3 linked regions of the Arabidopsis thaliana genome follow. The protein of the gene in region 3 interacts with the protein of the main gene of each other region in a pairwise test. Each region holds a gene or a part of one and is shown on either strand. Other genes may lie near its edges. The genes, in order: AT1G31130, VP2 and AT5G55380.

Region 1 (3,787 bases), on a different chromosome or scaffold from region 3:
AGGCTGACAAAACATTCCATGATTCACCGAAATTTTGTTATCTATGTGGCATGTATATGGTTCATTCATTTATATATTAACAAAAAAAAGGACAATTTTTGTTCCAAAACAAAACAATGCATGATCAGGGTAACAAAACAAAACATTGCATGATTCACATTGACTTATTATTCCAAATTTGTTTCATTGATCATGATTCACGATATTTAGCATTAGTTACTATTTGGGTTAGTGTTGTTGATACATCACCATCTAACTTTAAATTCACATAATACAAAATAAAAATTGATAAAATCAGATTAAAAATGAATGAAGATGTATTTTTGTTTTCTTCTTCTTCTTTGAATTAAGTTTTAAATTTGGTTTCCATTCGGTTTAGTGTAAGTTGTGTAACCAAACCTCCCACTCACGAACAAAAATTCAGATTTATAAACATTACAAAAGTATCCACAATAATTGCTCCTACGACCTTAACTTAGTGTAGGTTAATTCCAAGGTCAAATCCTACAGCTAATTACATATCTAAACAAGCCACTTCCTTCATTTATTATCAATTTAAGCATCTAAAACCCAACATTTTTAACGGATAATAATTATCATCAACATGAGAAGAATAAAACACATCTTTCAACAAGAATAAATTAGTAAACTCAAATCATGTAATAATAATCAAATGAAAACAACAACAAAGAGTGTTGAGTCTAATACATACACATTACATTAAAACTATTGTTCAGATTCCAAATTTCTTCTTCTTCTCCAATATTACAAACTACAAAGAGAGAGAGAGAATGGTAATAAGAGAAGAAAAACAGTACAAGAGAATCATCATCTTGACAAATCTTCAAATATCTAAATCCTCCAACTGAATGTTGCTCTTAAGAGGCACATAATCTCCAAGATACCCACCAAGTTGATCATACAAAGCGGTCTTATCAATAGTCTGATGATGATAACTCTTACAAACATAGTAAAACACACTCTGAACCAACAAACCCACAAGATTAACCATCACAAGAACACCAACTAACAATCCACCAACCAAAGTCCTAGTAAAAGTTCCATACTTCCCACCACCATGAACCACAACAGCACCAAAAACAACTCCAATCAATCCACAGAGGAAAAGATAAACAAAGATTAACCCCATAGCCATCTTAGTCTTCCCTTTAAGCAACTCATAAGCTTTTCTCATAGCGGCGATTCCGTAAACCGGTTCAAGAACAGAGATTACACTACCTAAATGCCATAAAGCAGTGAAATAAACATGAACACCAAAGTATAGAACAGAGATTATAACCCCGGCTACAATAGCTAAACCTAAACTATTCAAATCAAGAGCTACGAGAAGCATCACGAGGAAGACAAAGAAGACTGCGTTATAAGCAAACATCAACAGAGCAACCCAAAGGAAAGTTATAAAGAGTCGTTTAAAGACTTTGGGAATCGCAGAGAGAGTTGACGAGAAAGAAACAGGCTTTCCGGTGTAAAGAGAAGCGACGGTGAAGACAACAGCAGCGGTTGAGAGAAGAGAGAAGGCAAAGAGGAAGATCAAGTAACTGAACTGGAAGATTAGAAGAACAGTCCAATCATGACGTGAACGATCTGAGTTTGGTGGGTCGGATTTGTCGAGTTTGGCTAAGATTGGTTGAGTGAAGAGTGAGTGAGCGAGGATAGCGAAGGAGAGAGGGAAGATGAAGGAGAGGGTTATGAGGTAGAAGGTTCTTGGAGATCGTTTCTTGATTGAGATTGATTCTTGAAGTAGTTGAGGTATTGTCAAGAATTGAAGCTCTTCTGGTTGGAGATCCATGGTTTGTTTCTTTGGAATGAGGTTTGATCGGAGAAGAACAGAGAGGAGAGATTAAGAATCACCGACGGGTCAATTTCGAAATCTGAGAGAGATGAAGTTTTTTTTTTTTTGTTGAGGTGTGTTTTGTTGATATCAAGAAGATGGAGAAAAAATGTTTACGGGTAAAGACTTTTTTTTTCCTTGGAAACTTCTGGGAAACTCATATAACACGTTTTGACTAGTATTGTTATTGTGACCATTTTTTTTTGGGGGGGGGGGGCAACTAATTGTTTATTTTTTGCTTTAATTAATATGATGGAATCGTTATTTTATGGGAAAATATGTAAGTGGTAAAGAGATGGACAAAAAGGAAAAGGAGATTTGGTCAAGTTTTATGAGCACAACTCTCTTTGCATGAGCTGAGACGCAATCATGGAACTAGACTTTCTATAGAGTTTATGAATCTTGTATACTTACAAAGAAATGGTAAGATAGGGTAAATCTAATTTTGATAGAGTTTAATTATGCACCTAATACCTAATATTCACCGTGAAGAATACTCTAGAAGAGTATTCAGATTTTCATATTTGTAATACATATATATGTACTACATTTTTTTAATGTTATTTATTTACATTTTGAAATTAAATAAATAAGTTCAAAGAATAAATATGATTTAATTTGAACGACATATCAGAAATGTTGTAATCTGTTTTTTTTTTTTTTTTGAATATTGTAATCTGAAAAATGAAAGTTTAATGGTTTGATATTTCGGTTGTATGTGTGATTATGTATGTTTTGATTTGTTTTCACGTAATAATGAGGAAATCAGGATCAAAACTTTAAAAAGAGCAAACAGAAAATTAATGATGTTAAAAGTTTATTAATACGAAGAAGAAAAAAAAAAGTTTTATTGATACGACCTTGTTTGAAATAGGATTAATAAATTTTCTGATGAAGTTAATTTATGATAGAAACAAAATCAAAGATTAATGCTTACTTCCACTGAATCTGAGGTGCAGGGAAATCACATGGACCGATGGTCCCAACAGTTAACTGTCCATGTCAACTTAAATACTACTAATTTACATAATTAATAGATGTGAAAATTATCTTTGCAATGAATATTGAACTTGTAACTTTTTGTATGTGTTTAATTTGGAGATCTTATAAGTTTACGTAAGGAAATAGAACTAGCAATCAAATGTTGGTGTATAAGCACTATCCTACACACACGATTTCTTTAATTATACTTTCAATTTCGAATAGAGAAATATAAGAAATGGACAAGACCGGCCGGTCCATGATTATATACTCTCAAGTTTCAACTTTTGTTTTGGTTTTCTAACTTTTATAAAGATATGTAACAAATGTGTTTTTAATCGAATGTGTTTTAATCTTTTTTCTTCTGGCACTAGGTTCTTTCTACACTAGCTACTTTAATCGAATGACTAATGGAATGTAATAAACCAATACTTAAACTAAACACTTGCCTCTTAAAGCCTTATTACAAGAAAAATAATAGACCGTGTATCATCAAAATATTGAAAAATAAATAAATACCCCAACACGTAATTTATAACAGTAAGACTATGAATGGAGGTAGCGGACAAAGCGGTTTAATTTGTCTGCGATTTAGTCCATCTCATTTTTGAGGCGAACAATAAACCGCTGCGGACCAAGTTTATTTGTATGTAAAAACGGTCCGTAGATGATCCGCTGCGGTTTTCTTCTATTTTTTTTGGTCATTGATGAATTGTAAATAAAAATAGTCTGATTCGTTGACGGTTTTGTCCGTCCCAACCGCCATAACCATTCAAACCCTAAATCGAATTCACAAGTCATAACAACTAATTCTCCCTAAATATAAGCATATCCTAACACAAACTAAAGAAATACCTATTATTATTTAATAAATTTAGTAAGAATACCTATTATTATTTAATGAACCATCCAAACCATACTTACAAAAGTAGCAGTCCCTATCTAAATAGAAAC
Region 2 (7,820 bases), on a different chromosome or scaffold from region 3:
AAACCAACCCAGCTGATCCTAAGAACATATGATGTCATCAGAATCTTTACACAAACAATTACAAACTGGAATAAAAAGAAGGAAAATGACAAACAGTAACATGGTGTAAATGACACAGTTATGACTTGGACTTCACTTAACGCACCTTCCCGTGGGAAGAAAGTCACCAAGAGCAAAAACCAAACCAAATACAACAACAGCTATGCCAACTCCAACCTGTCATGGCATGGGCCCAAGTTTTGTCATGTTATGTATGAGTAGCTTATAGGCCTCAAGTGGTTTTAGAACAAAATAAAAAATAAACACTTGCAAGATGTTATGTATGCGTACCTTAGTACCAAGACCAATTGTTTTCTGGTCAGACTTGACTGGTGCATCATAGTCAATTGGACCAAATTCTTTAACTACTTCTGTCTTTTTCTGCTCAAGAGCTGACCTGATTCATCAAAAGAGCAGAGGTCACAGAAATAACATTCCGATCAGTGGGAGGACAATGATCTTGACTATGTCTAGGGGGTGAGGGAAGTGGAAAGCAAGACAAGTGATGAACAAATCAAGAAAAAAAAAGAATCAAACTTTCATAGGAAGATCATGTCGTTGTGGGTATAATGAGAAAGTCAAGTGTGATTGTCAGAGGAATAATCCTATTGTAACCTATATATCTCTAAAGCCAATCTTCATGCTAGAATCATAAAACATAGGTACCTTCTGATGTTTTCCAGCCGTTCATCGAAGTCTATATCAAAAGATCGACCAGATTTTCCTTCAAACTGAGTATTCAGACCAGGTGCCTCTGCAAACAAATGCAGGAGTTTCTTGAGCAAACCTTTCAATTGAAACCAACTTTTTGAGATAAACTGAAGAATGCAAAAATGAAGTTATGTTCGAGACACCATGAAGGAGAGCAGCAACATCTGTTACGTACAATATGCTTTAAAATCAAATTATACTTACTTCTGGGTACAGAAACAGACTGTTTAGAAGATGATTTCCTGCAGCAAAGAAGTCCATATGAAAATATAACAACAGCAATTTAAAATTCTAAATGCTTTAAACAAACACAAAAACTATTTATACCTTTGCTGCAATGCCGGGTCTTTCTCTTCCTGTGATGCGATTTCACATTTTTGTCTCAGTACTTTGAATCAACAAAATTAAGTTGAACAAAGAAGAATTTGGAATCAAACCTTTTTTGAGCCGAAGCCACGCTTAGGGTTAGAATCCGAGCAACGTATTCGAAATAGGAGAAGCTTCGAGTTAAATGAAACGGAGGTCGTCGCCGCTAGTGTCATCAACATCCTCTGTTTGTATTGTCCTAACCAAAACAGAGAATTTTCTAAGAAAGTTTCAAAGAAATAATGAGAAGTAACGGCTACGAAGAGAAATTCGTCCGCCGGAGATTGACGATGAAAGGTGAGCTCCGTGATCGGGCCGGTAAGATAACGTTAGTGGTTCTTCTTCTTCTTCACTTTGCAGATTGTCTATTATATGGGCCGAATGGCAAAACATAATTTTGGGCTAGGCCCATATAATATTCAAATGTTAATATTCCAAAATTGATGGGTATTTTTGATAATTTAACTCGATCTATATAATTTAACAAACGAGGATGATTTTAAGTTTTTAACTTTTTAAGTGAGAATAGTGATTAAGTGTCAACGACTCATTGGATAGGATGTGTCATAAAATTAGTATTGAACCACTGAGGAGTGAAAATAAAATTAAAGGTAGAAAAATTAATTTAGGAAAAAAATATTCGGAAAGTTCTGTGAAAAGTCTTCGGATTTAGAACGGAGACAGCGAGAGGATAGAGCGCTTCTTCGGCTACAACAAGCTTTCGCTAATGGCGGTTTCCTTCTGATCACTCTCACCGGAGCCGTCATCTTCTCTGTTTTACCGATTTTTAGGGTTTGTTTCCGGATAAACTCTTCGTATGCTTTTTTTTTTTCGTTGGATTCGTTTCTGGAAACGTATCCATTTCCTGTCTAGAGATCATGTGAATTTCTCTTAGAACAGAACTCAGATCTAAATTAAAGTAACGGTGCTTGATTCATTAAACTCGGAATGCAAAGTCCCTTGCGTTTTATTCACTGAAATCTTAGTCGATTAGATCTTGAGGTCTGTTTGTTAATCGCACTTTTCTGGGGAATTGATCGTAGAAGCAATTACGCTCATGGGAAATGATGAAAGTTATAGCTAAACTTTACTGTAGAACCTTACTCTGATTATATTTCATTTAAAAATGCTATTTGGTTGGTAAAGAGAAACATCACAACTTTTCATACTTTTCTATTTTTTTCAGAAATTTTGATTGTGGTGGAAACTTGTTGTGGCAACTCTACTGAGAAAGTTTGAAGAAGCTGGAATCAAAGATATAGCTAGAGTTAAGAGGGTTCATACTAACTTGTGCTCGTTTTGTGATGTGCTGTTGTTAACGTTTGGAGGAAAAAGTTGTAGTGTATTAAAATTCAGCGTCCGAGTTCTGGGGCGGAGTTGCCCCATAGCATTGACTTTACGCCTCTACACATAGTCCGAAGGGCTAATTCAGCTCAAAACATGATGATGGATGAAGATGTTGAGCAGGCCAGTTTGATGTCTTTCAATGACAGGCCTAGGGCTTTTCCCAACATGCGTAGTAAAACCTATAGTCCACTGGTACAACTTTTATTCCTCTCTTTCTTGAGTGCTTTTCTTTTTGCTTGCATCAGATCACTGAGATGCGTATTATAACTAGTTTCCTTCTATTTCGTTTAGCATCTTAGTTTCTTGAGCATCTCGTTTTCATTTTCTTTGAAATTGTATAAAGTTTAGTTGTTTTTTGGCAGATATTCCGGATTATTAGGAAATTAAATGTCCGTGTCCTTTCGATAATTCTGCTTTTCTGCTTCGGAGCAATCTTTTACATGGGGGCAAGTACTTCTCCCATCATCGTGTTCGTCTTCACAGTATGCATCATCAGCTTCCTTTTGTCAATATATCTAACCAAGTGGGTTTTAGCGAAAGATGAAGGACCTCCAGAGATGGTTGAGGTAAGCTCACTCAGATTATGTGGTGTTAGTCATGATGTTGACATTTTTCCTTCTTTGTTCTCATCAAAAATTTGTAATTCTAATTTGTGAGGTAATTCTCTTACTTATAGATATCAGATGCTATACGTGATGGAGCTGAAGGTTTTTTCAGAACGCAGTATAGCACTATATCCAAGATGGCCATTTTGCTAGCTTTTGTGATTCTTTGCATATATCTATTCCGTAGCTTAACTCCCCAGCAAGAGGCTGCTGGTTTAGGAAGGTGCTGATACATGATTACATTCACAAGATTTATTTTATCTTTTGAATTGTTGTGAATGAAGCTTAGCCATATTACTATTTTGCTGCAGGGCGATGTCTGCTTATATTACTGTTGCTGCATTTCTTTTGGGGGCTCTATGCTCAGGTATTGCTGGATATGTTGGAATGTGGGTGTCAGTTCGTGCTAATGTGCGGGTCTCCAGTGCTGCCAGACGATCTGCGAGAGAAGCATTGCAGGTTCTTCTTTAGTTTAGCTATTTTGGTAACATGTCATGTACACGTTTCCAAATACTAAGTGGCAGATATAATGCAGATAGCCGTTCGTGCTGGTGGGTTTTCAGCCCTGGTTGTTGTTGGTATGGCTGTGATTGGTATCGCCATCCTCTATTCTACATTTTATGTGTGGTTGGGCGTGGGTTCACCAGGCTCAATGAATGTTACTGACCGTAAGTCTTCTGCTCTTTTTTTTTTATGAAAAATATTCATTTTCGTCTTGTGTGTATATTCTATAATCATTGTACTGAGTTTCAAAAAGTTATTGTTATCTTTTCAAAGGATCATTTTCAGACATGAGCAGTATTTTCTTAAATATGTCATGACTTGTATTAATCTTGATTGAGGTGGGGTACCAATACAGTTCTAAGATTTTCAGTGAACCCTATATGTAATTCTCTTGATTTATTGACCAGAATTTGCATTTGCATGGGCGATAGTGGAGCTATTAAACTTGTAAGATTTATTGATTGAATTTTCTGTTTCTCTTACAGTACCTCTTCTTCTTGTCGGATATGGTTTTGGTGCTTCGTTTGTTGCCTTATTTGCTCAGTTGGGTGGTGGAATATATACTAAGGGAGCTGATGTTGGGGCAGATCTCGTTGGGAAAGTTGAGCAGGGAATTCCCGAGGATGATCCTCGAAATCCTGCTGTTATTGCTGATTTGGTATTTGATCTTTGTTCTTTTTGTTTCTTACTTTCTTGATTCTGTGATTCCCAAACGTGACATCCTTGTTTGGGGCATATATCACTCTACAAGGGTTTGCTTGTGTTTTCGTCATTTAGGCATTTAAAGCCATTTTCATCTTCTTGTAGGTTGGAGACAATGTGGGGGACTGTGCTGCTAGAGGTGCTGATTTATTTGAAAGTATAGCTGCAGAAATCATCAGTGCAATGATACTAGGTGGAACAATGGCTAAGAAGTGCAAAATTGAAGGTGCACCATCTCTCTTTAAAGTTACTTCTGGTATATGCAAATATATAACTTATGGTGTGAGTTCCTGACTCATACCGAGAAAATTAAATGAACTGCTAGGATTTTATAATCTGAAATGCAAACTTAGGAAGAGTTGCATAGAGAGTTCAAGCTCGTAAATTACATTCTGTATACAGAATAATCTACGCTTTATTGCATGTTTTGGTCACTCCTTGAGGATTTGAGGGTACATTATTACTTGTTAGGATTTAAAAAGTCGACATAAGTTGTATAGAGTTATTGTTTGAAGCACCTTGTACGAACCTGCTATGCATTGTGTGAAAATTGAAGGAAGACTACTTTTCATGACAGCAAGCTACACTTGGCTGCAGTCAAAAAATTTCAATAACATTACCCATTTCTAGCAGTGGTTGTTAGATATGCGCTGATAAACATCCTATTAAACCTCTTGTTCATGCTTGATACTTACTCAAATCTTTCTCTATTATGCAGATCCATCAGGCTTTATCCTTTTTCCTCTAGTTGTTCATTCTTTTGACTTGATTATATCCTCAATTGGTATTCTATCAATCAAGGGAACACGTGATGCTAGTGTGAAATCTCCGGTAGAGGATCCAATGGCTGTACTTCAGAAAGGATATTCTCTGACAATTATATTAGCTGTTATAACATTTGGCGCGGTAATGTTGTCACACATAACCATTGATTGTCTTGTTCCTTTCATTCTTTTTACAATTAATTCTGCTTTTTATGGGCTTTTTGGTTCAGACTTTTCATTAGCCTACACTAGCCTTGTTATTACTGAAATTTCGAACAAATTCTTTGCTATATTCTTCTGACAGCATTATTTATGTTTGTAGTCGACTCGCTGGCTGCTTTACACTGAACAAGCTCCATCTGCATGGTTCAATTTCGCCCTATGTGGGTTGGTTGGCATCATCACAGCCTATATCTTTGTCTGGATATCCAAATATTATACAGACTATAAGCACGAGCCTGTTCGGACGTTGGCTCTTGCTAGCTCGACTGGTCATGGGACTAATATCATTGCTGGAGTAAGCTTGGGCCTGGAATCAACTGCTCTTCCAGTTTTGACTATAAGTGTAGCTATTATTTCTGCGTATTGGTTGGGCAATACCTCGGGTCTAGTGGACGAAAATGGTATTCCCACTGGAGGTCTATTTGGAACAGCCGTTGCTACAATGGGAATGCTAAGCACTGCAGCTTATGTCCTTACTATGGACATGTTTGGCCCCATAGCTGACAACGCTGGTGGGATTGTCGAGATGAGCCAGCAGGTAAGATGTCACATGATTGGCTTGAAAGGCTCTTATGTTCCATCTTTATTCTATGTAGAAATAATAAATGTTTCGTGCAGCCAGAGAGTGTCCGTGAGATCACTGATCTTCTTGATGCTGTTGGGAACACCACAAAAGCAACAACGAAAGGGTTTGCCATTGGATCTGCTGCACTTGCATCATTCCTTCTCTTTAGTGCGTATATGGACGAGGTTTCAGCGTTTGCTAATGTGTCTTTCAAAGAGGTAGATTTCGTTATGCATCGTTGCTGTATTCTCGATGTTGAGACAACTTCTCATACTCATCCTCGGATAAAATCAGGTTGATATTGCTATCCCAGAAGTGTTCGTTGGTGGATTATTGGGTGCCATGCTTATTTTCCTCTTTAGTGCTTGGGCATGCGCGGCAGTTGGTCGAACTGCACAAGAGGTTGTCAACGAAGTAAGAAGGCAATTTATTGAGAGGCCTGGCATAATGGTGAGCATATTTTTCCTTTTGAGTGCTTCACCTTTTCTTGTGTATTGGCTTGTACCGTTGTTGACTAGCAAATATCTTGTTGCAGGAGTACAAGGAGAAGCCAGATTATAGTCGCTGTGTCGCCATAGTCGCATCTGCAGCTTTAAGAGAAATGATAAAGCCAGGAGCTTTAGCTATTGCATCACCCATTGTAGTTGGTAAGTCAGTAATATCTACTCGTTTTTCTTTACTTACTGTATTGAAAGTTTGAAACCACAACATTGTGACCAAAAACAAACCTCTTGTTCTCTCTTTCAGGTTTGGTGTTTCGAATCTTGGGTTACTACACAGGACAACCTCTGCTCGGAGCAAAAGTTGTAGCTTCTATGCTCATGTTTGCAACAGTTTGTGGTATCTTAATGGCACTTTTCCTAAACACGGCGGGAGGTGCTTGGGACAATGCAAAGAAATACATAGAGACCGGGGCACTTGGGGGCAAAGGAAGTGAAGCTCACAAAGCAGCTGTGACTGGTGATACGTAAGTATTTTCGTTCTACTTCAACACTCATTCAAAGTTATATTCCTGAATACGATTTCTCATTAGAATTCATCTGAAAATTGTAGCGTGGGAGATCCGTTCAAGGACACAGCCGGTCCATCCATTCACGTCCTCATAAAAATGCTTGCGACTATAACTCTCGTCATGGCTCCGGTTTTCCTCTGAAAGTGAACCGTTACTTATCCATCCCGGCTTATTTACTCTCTTGCACATATACAAATAGAGAGGGAGAGAGGTTGGTTATAAAATGATTTACATGGATTAATGGTTTTTGTGTTTCATTTCATCTGAATAAATGAGATAATTCTGTTTTTGAGTTTAGAGACACTCTTTAAGGAATTCTAGAGACATTTTAATCAACCACATCTTTGACTTTGAGAGTCTTTATTTTCCTCGATTTAATCTTTCTAGTACTTCTTCTTACTCTTCTTGATTTGCCTCCAACTCGTACAGACAATTGTCTACTCGGTAGTCTTATGAGACGGCGGTTGTTGCGATTGCTGCCATGATGGTGGTGGCTGTGTTTGCTTCCTAGTCTTCTTCTTCTCTGCTTTGGTCTAATGTTATCTATTCGACTGGGACTGTCCGATGAACTTGATTCATCATCACTCGGATAATCATAGGTCGTAGCTTCTATATCATCGAGACGTTTTCTGCGACGGTTGACCCGATTTATGTTAGTCAAACTGTGACACAAGCAACTAATCATCTCTCCAATGTCGAACCAGTACGCTGCACAAGCGGCACATGACATTTTGCAGATACTTTTCACAACACATTGGCAAATTCCAAGCTTGAACAGGAGGGTGATGAACATCAAAACTGGGAAAAAGAAACAAATACAAAATTATAGAAAACAAAGGAAAGTTCACAGAATCAATAGTGAATGCTAAAAATCGGAAATAAGAGAAAGGTTTACTTATGAAACAGAGGCTTGACATCAGCACAAGCTTTGCAATATCAGGAAGACAGAAATGTTCTATGAAACACTCAAGATCCCATGGTCC
Region 3 (3,951 bases):
AGTAAGATATGGAGATTAAGGCAGAGATCCAAACCTTGATTAGGTTTCTCAACTCTTCTTCCATCTTTTCTCTCTTGGTTCTGTTGGTTGCTAACTGTTTCATAATGATGCGACTTAAATAATGTTATCTACAACCAGAAGAACATGAATAATGCCAAAAACCATAACTGGTAATACGTTTCTAATTTGTCAAGTTTGCGTCATTTTTATTTTGGATCATTCAAAAACTATTTTTTTCAAAGAGGTAAAAGGATAGAACTTCAAAGTTAGAGGGTTTATTGTCTCATGTACTTTCATTTTTTTTATTTTTTAAACTTGTATTATTCAATTATTTAATGATTTGGAAATAACATATATGTATTTACCAGATTTTCAATTCGCAAGTAAAAGATAAATGAATCTTAGAAAAAACTCCATATTACATTTTCTTTTACATTATAAAATCAAGAAATCCAAATAGATTCGGAATGTTCGTATGACAAATCCAGACAAACGACGCGGCATGATTAAAGTAAGATTATAGATTTGGCAGAGTTTGTTTTATTTTAAAATTCTTCTAACAAATATTGCATTAATAATATACAAAGTAAGATGTTCATATTTCATCATTTGTTAGAACTTAGAAAACATTTACGCCATATTTATTGAATTTGTTGAGCTTGATTCAATTTAATAGCATGTCAAGAATGTTTCACACTAGACGACGTGTCTCACACTTCTATATACGTTTTCAAACAATGAAGAGAAACAAAGTTTGGTTGCTCTGCTACCGCTCTTTGCCTTTAATAAAGAATCATGAAGAAGTGAATAACTTGGCTAGGTCAAGAACCAATAAACATTCTCCAATCGCTTTCTCATGGACATTGTTTCTCAGCACTTGAGCGAGGAATAGCCAAACGCCCGTCACACTCACAAACGTCAGAACTACAAGACCAGAGACAGCCCGGTGCGGTGGCCTCAACCATTGTGTTCTCTTCACCGCTATCTCAGTGGCAGTGGCAGCACCATGCAACACAAAGAAACAAGTGACTTCCCAAGTTGGAGGCTTACGGATCATGTAAAAGTAGAGCAGCTCATGCATCAAGCCTGAGACAAAGAACGATGCCATGACCCCAGCAAACATAGCCCCGTCTGGACTGAGTATGCGTTTGAAAAAACGCTGAACCGGAATGTGAACGGTTGAGCGTAGGACGGCTGAAACCATGAGGTTCCATCTGCGGCTCCAGAAGTCTTGTAGGGAGGTAGCTAGGTAGGGCTCATTGAACACCGGCTCGATGTTACACCCAAGAAGAGTAGATACCACGGCTCCAACAAAGACCAAGACAAGTTCTACCTCAAGGTAAATATGGAGACAATAGAGAGCCAAGACAACAAACCGAGGCAAACCATCCCTGTATTCATAAACATGTAACAAGACGCCCAAGACCAAAATTTTAACAGCCAAAACCCATTTAGGCATAGGTTTAGGATGAAGATTTGGTATCGCATTTGGAGAAGGGTCTTGTCTGATTTTGATGGGTAAACAAGCGAAGCAGATGAAACGGGAGAGTTTTGGAGGAAGTGGGAACAAAGGTCCCTCATCAAAGGCAAATAGAAGAAGCTTAAAGTTTGCAAGCCATGAAAGAAAAAGAACTGAAATGGCGCAAAAGTGCACACAAGAGAGGAACAGAGGAAGAACAAGAAACAGAATGCAGACTGGAAGAATAGAGAGGAGACGAAGAACACCTTTGGAGAGTTTAGACGATATGTAATAACAGTAAGATAGAGAGATTAAAGCAGAGATCCATACCTCGATTAAGTTTCTAAACTTTTCTTCCATTTCTCAGATCTGTCGTTTGCTAATTCTGTGGAAGCAGCAGAGTTTGACGTGGTCCTGTATTAAAGAATTACCACAAAATATGACTCAAAAGTTTAAGACAATAGAAGCTGGCTTCTTTTTCTTTTATATTATTAAACAGCTAAAAGGCCCACTAGCTACACATGTGAGTGGCAGAGAAAAGTTATAGATTTCTTCTATTCTTCCTACACTTTCGTAGAGTGAGACACAAAAGATCAATCAAACTACTAATGTTGCAACTACAAGGATAATGAGTGCTGATCTAGTCATTAATCCAACCGCCAGATCGACTCATATAAGGGTAGTTCGGGTTCGGGCCAGGGGCAAAACCCCTTGGACTCATTTCGAAGTCACTAGGTGGTGGCGGTGGCAGTGGAAAGTCATGAGGATTTAAGAGATTATGTCCGCTAGGTTGCAATGGAGGCTGAGGTGGGAAAGAGCTCATCCTCTGGTAATTCATTTGATCGAAATGAGGCGCATAACGTTGTTGCAATGGGAATGCATTGTCCATCAGATTTGGAGGAGGAGGAGGAGCTAACATGGGGTCCAAGTGCCCACCGTACTGCTGTGGATATTCTCTTTGACCAATCCCTCTATCAAGGTCTGAATATCCTCGGAAATCAAACATCTCGTTAGGACCATTTCTCAATGGAAACTGATCCGGTAGGAAAGGAGGATCCGGCATTCTATAGCCTCCACCGAAACCACCATACTTAGCAGCAAGACCATCGTCGAAATGGGACAAACTTGCACCATAAGATGGTTCAAAAGCTTCAAACGGTTTCTGACCCGTATTTTCTGGCGATGGACGAACAGTGTAGATGTCCTCTCTAGAAGTTCTCACAGAGCTAGGCCTATCCCGACTCACTTCAGGTTTTCCAGTGCCCTGCACTTTACAACCATGTTCTCTAATATTCTTTCCCAAGTTACTTTTTGTCCTTGTTATTGCAGGCAGAGATGCTTCTACAGCCTCGTGAGATCTTTGAGGTGTTGTAGTGGAAATTGATGTGCAGACAGCATATATATCATCTGGGGAAGACCTAACAGGACTCTGCCAATCAGATGTCATTTCGGGAATTTTTACTTTGATGCTCTCTGGTGCTCTACTCAACTCTCCTTGATCCTCTTCCATGTCATTGCTCTTCCAATCCACATTATTAGAATCCATAGATTTCCCAAGCTTCCTACCAGAGTAGTCTTTGGTCTTTCCCTCCTTTTTCAGCTGACTTCTCCGTGACAAGTGATCTGACTGATGTACACGTGCTACAGTTTCTACTGTGTCGATTTTCTCAGAGACTAAGATTTTATTAACGCATTCAGCTACCTCAAGTTCATCCTTTTCCATAGGAATATCATCACACATGCCATCAGAAGCTCCAAGTGGATGCAAAGATGCGTTTGCTTCTTCTTCCACTATCTTTAACTTTGAGCTCCCCACATCCCTAGACAAATGGCAATGCTTCTCCGCTATTTTCTTGTGCTTGGCTGCAAAGTCGGACCGACTCCAGAGAGAAAGTGGCGGAGGAACAAGGTTCCAGTCTTCCAATTGCTTGTCTTCTTCATTGACAGAACCAGGCAGGTAAAATGACTGAAAGGAATAGGCAAGAAGCATAACATGTAACTGAAACTCAATAAAGGCTCAATCTCTCAAAAAGCAAAATCAAAAGAAAAGCGAAAGATTTACATTTCCAGATAGGAACGTCTTATCCTCCCATATAAGCACATATGATGACTTCTTTTTATCTAACCTGTTGAGAAAAGTGATAGATTTAACAAGAGAGAGAGAGAGGAGTCGATATATTAGTGTTATGGAATGGTACAGAGGAGCAGATGAGATAGATGGAAACTGAAACCTTTCAGTCTCGGGAGGAACAATGAGAATGAGAATCTTTGGGCGGAACTCAAGAGCCTTGGTAATAAACTTGTTTGCAAGAGAAGCATTGACTCCAAATGGTGGATTTAGCCCCATAATCTACTCATAATTCCAAAAATATAAACAGTCAGATACTACTCAAACTATTTCAATGACACTGGAGCTTACACAAAGTTCATACTAAAGGAAATTTGTGTCTTACCAGCTTTGAACCTGGTTCCAACTCATCTTTACTTACAGT

The links.
Region 1: the proteins of AT5G55380 (region 3) and AT1G31130 interact in a protein complementation assay, tested with the Arabidopsis thaliana proteins (one large-scale study listed by BioGRID).
Region 2: the proteins of AT5G55380 (region 3) and VP2 interact in a protein complementation assay, tested with the Arabidopsis thaliana proteins (one large-scale study listed by BioGRID).

What each region holds. Positions count from the first base shown.
Region 1 is NC_003070.9:11,114,119-11,117,905, forward strand, and holds AT1G31130 (polyadenylate-binding protein 1-B-binding protein), read right to left. Parts: upstream 2,078-3,787; 5' UTR 1,811-2,077; coding exon 845-1,810; 3' UTR 575-844; downstream 1-574.
Region 2 is NC_003070.9:29,669,784-29,677,603, forward strand, and holds VP2 (vacuolar H+-pyrophosphatase 2), read left to right. Parts: upstream 1-1,711; 5' UTR 1,712-1,908; intron 1,909-1,996; exon of another isoform or gene 1,997-2,208; intron 2,209-2,302; 5' UTR 2,303-2,556; coding exon 2,557-2,655; intron 2,656-2,825; coding exon 2,826-3,029; intron 3,030-3,139; coding exon 3,140-3,291; intron 3,292-3,379; coding exon 3,380-3,527; intron 3,528-3,603; coding exon 3,604-3,736; intron 3,737-4,057; coding exon 4,058-4,230; intron 4,231-4,379; coding exon 4,380-4,500; intron 4,501-4,992; coding exon 4,993-5,180; intron 5,181-5,360; coding exon 5,361-5,798; intron 5,799-5,878; coding exon 5,879-6,043; intron 6,044-6,119; coding exon 6,120-6,275; intron 6,276-6,360; coding exon 6,361-6,472; intron 6,473-6,572; coding exon 6,573-6,792; intron 6,793-6,878; coding exon 6,879-6,978; 3' UTR 6,979-7,048; exon of another isoform or gene 7,049-7,165; coding exon of another isoform or gene 7,166-7,635; 3' UTR 7,636-7,732; downstream 7,733-7,820. Other genes in the region: AT1G78915 (Tetratricopeptide repeat (TPR)-like superfamily protein), read right to left, coding at 1-18, 137-216, 331-436, 706-793, 955-992, 1,078-1,106, 1,188-1,298; AT1G78922 (uncharacterized protein), read right to left, coding at 7,166-7,635, 7,733-7,820. UniProt on the Arabidopsis thaliana protein: Pyrophosphatase active in both inorganic pyrophosphate hydrolysis and H(+) translocation.
Region 3 is NC_003076.8:22,446,053-22,450,003, forward strand, and holds AT5G55380 (MBOAT (membrane bound O-acyl transferase) family protein), read right to left. Parts: upstream 1,902-3,951; 5' UTR 1,820-1,901; coding exon 794-1,819; 3' UTR 572-793; downstream 1-571. Other genes in the region: AT5G55370 (MBOAT (membrane bound O-acyl transferase) family protein), read right to left, coding at 1-64; EDM2 (ENHANCED DOWNY MILDEW 2), read right to left, coding at 2,100-3,425, 3,522-3,585, 3,691-3,809, 3,913-3,951. UniProt on the Arabidopsis thaliana protein: Catalyzes the final step in the synthesis of long-chain linear esters (waxes).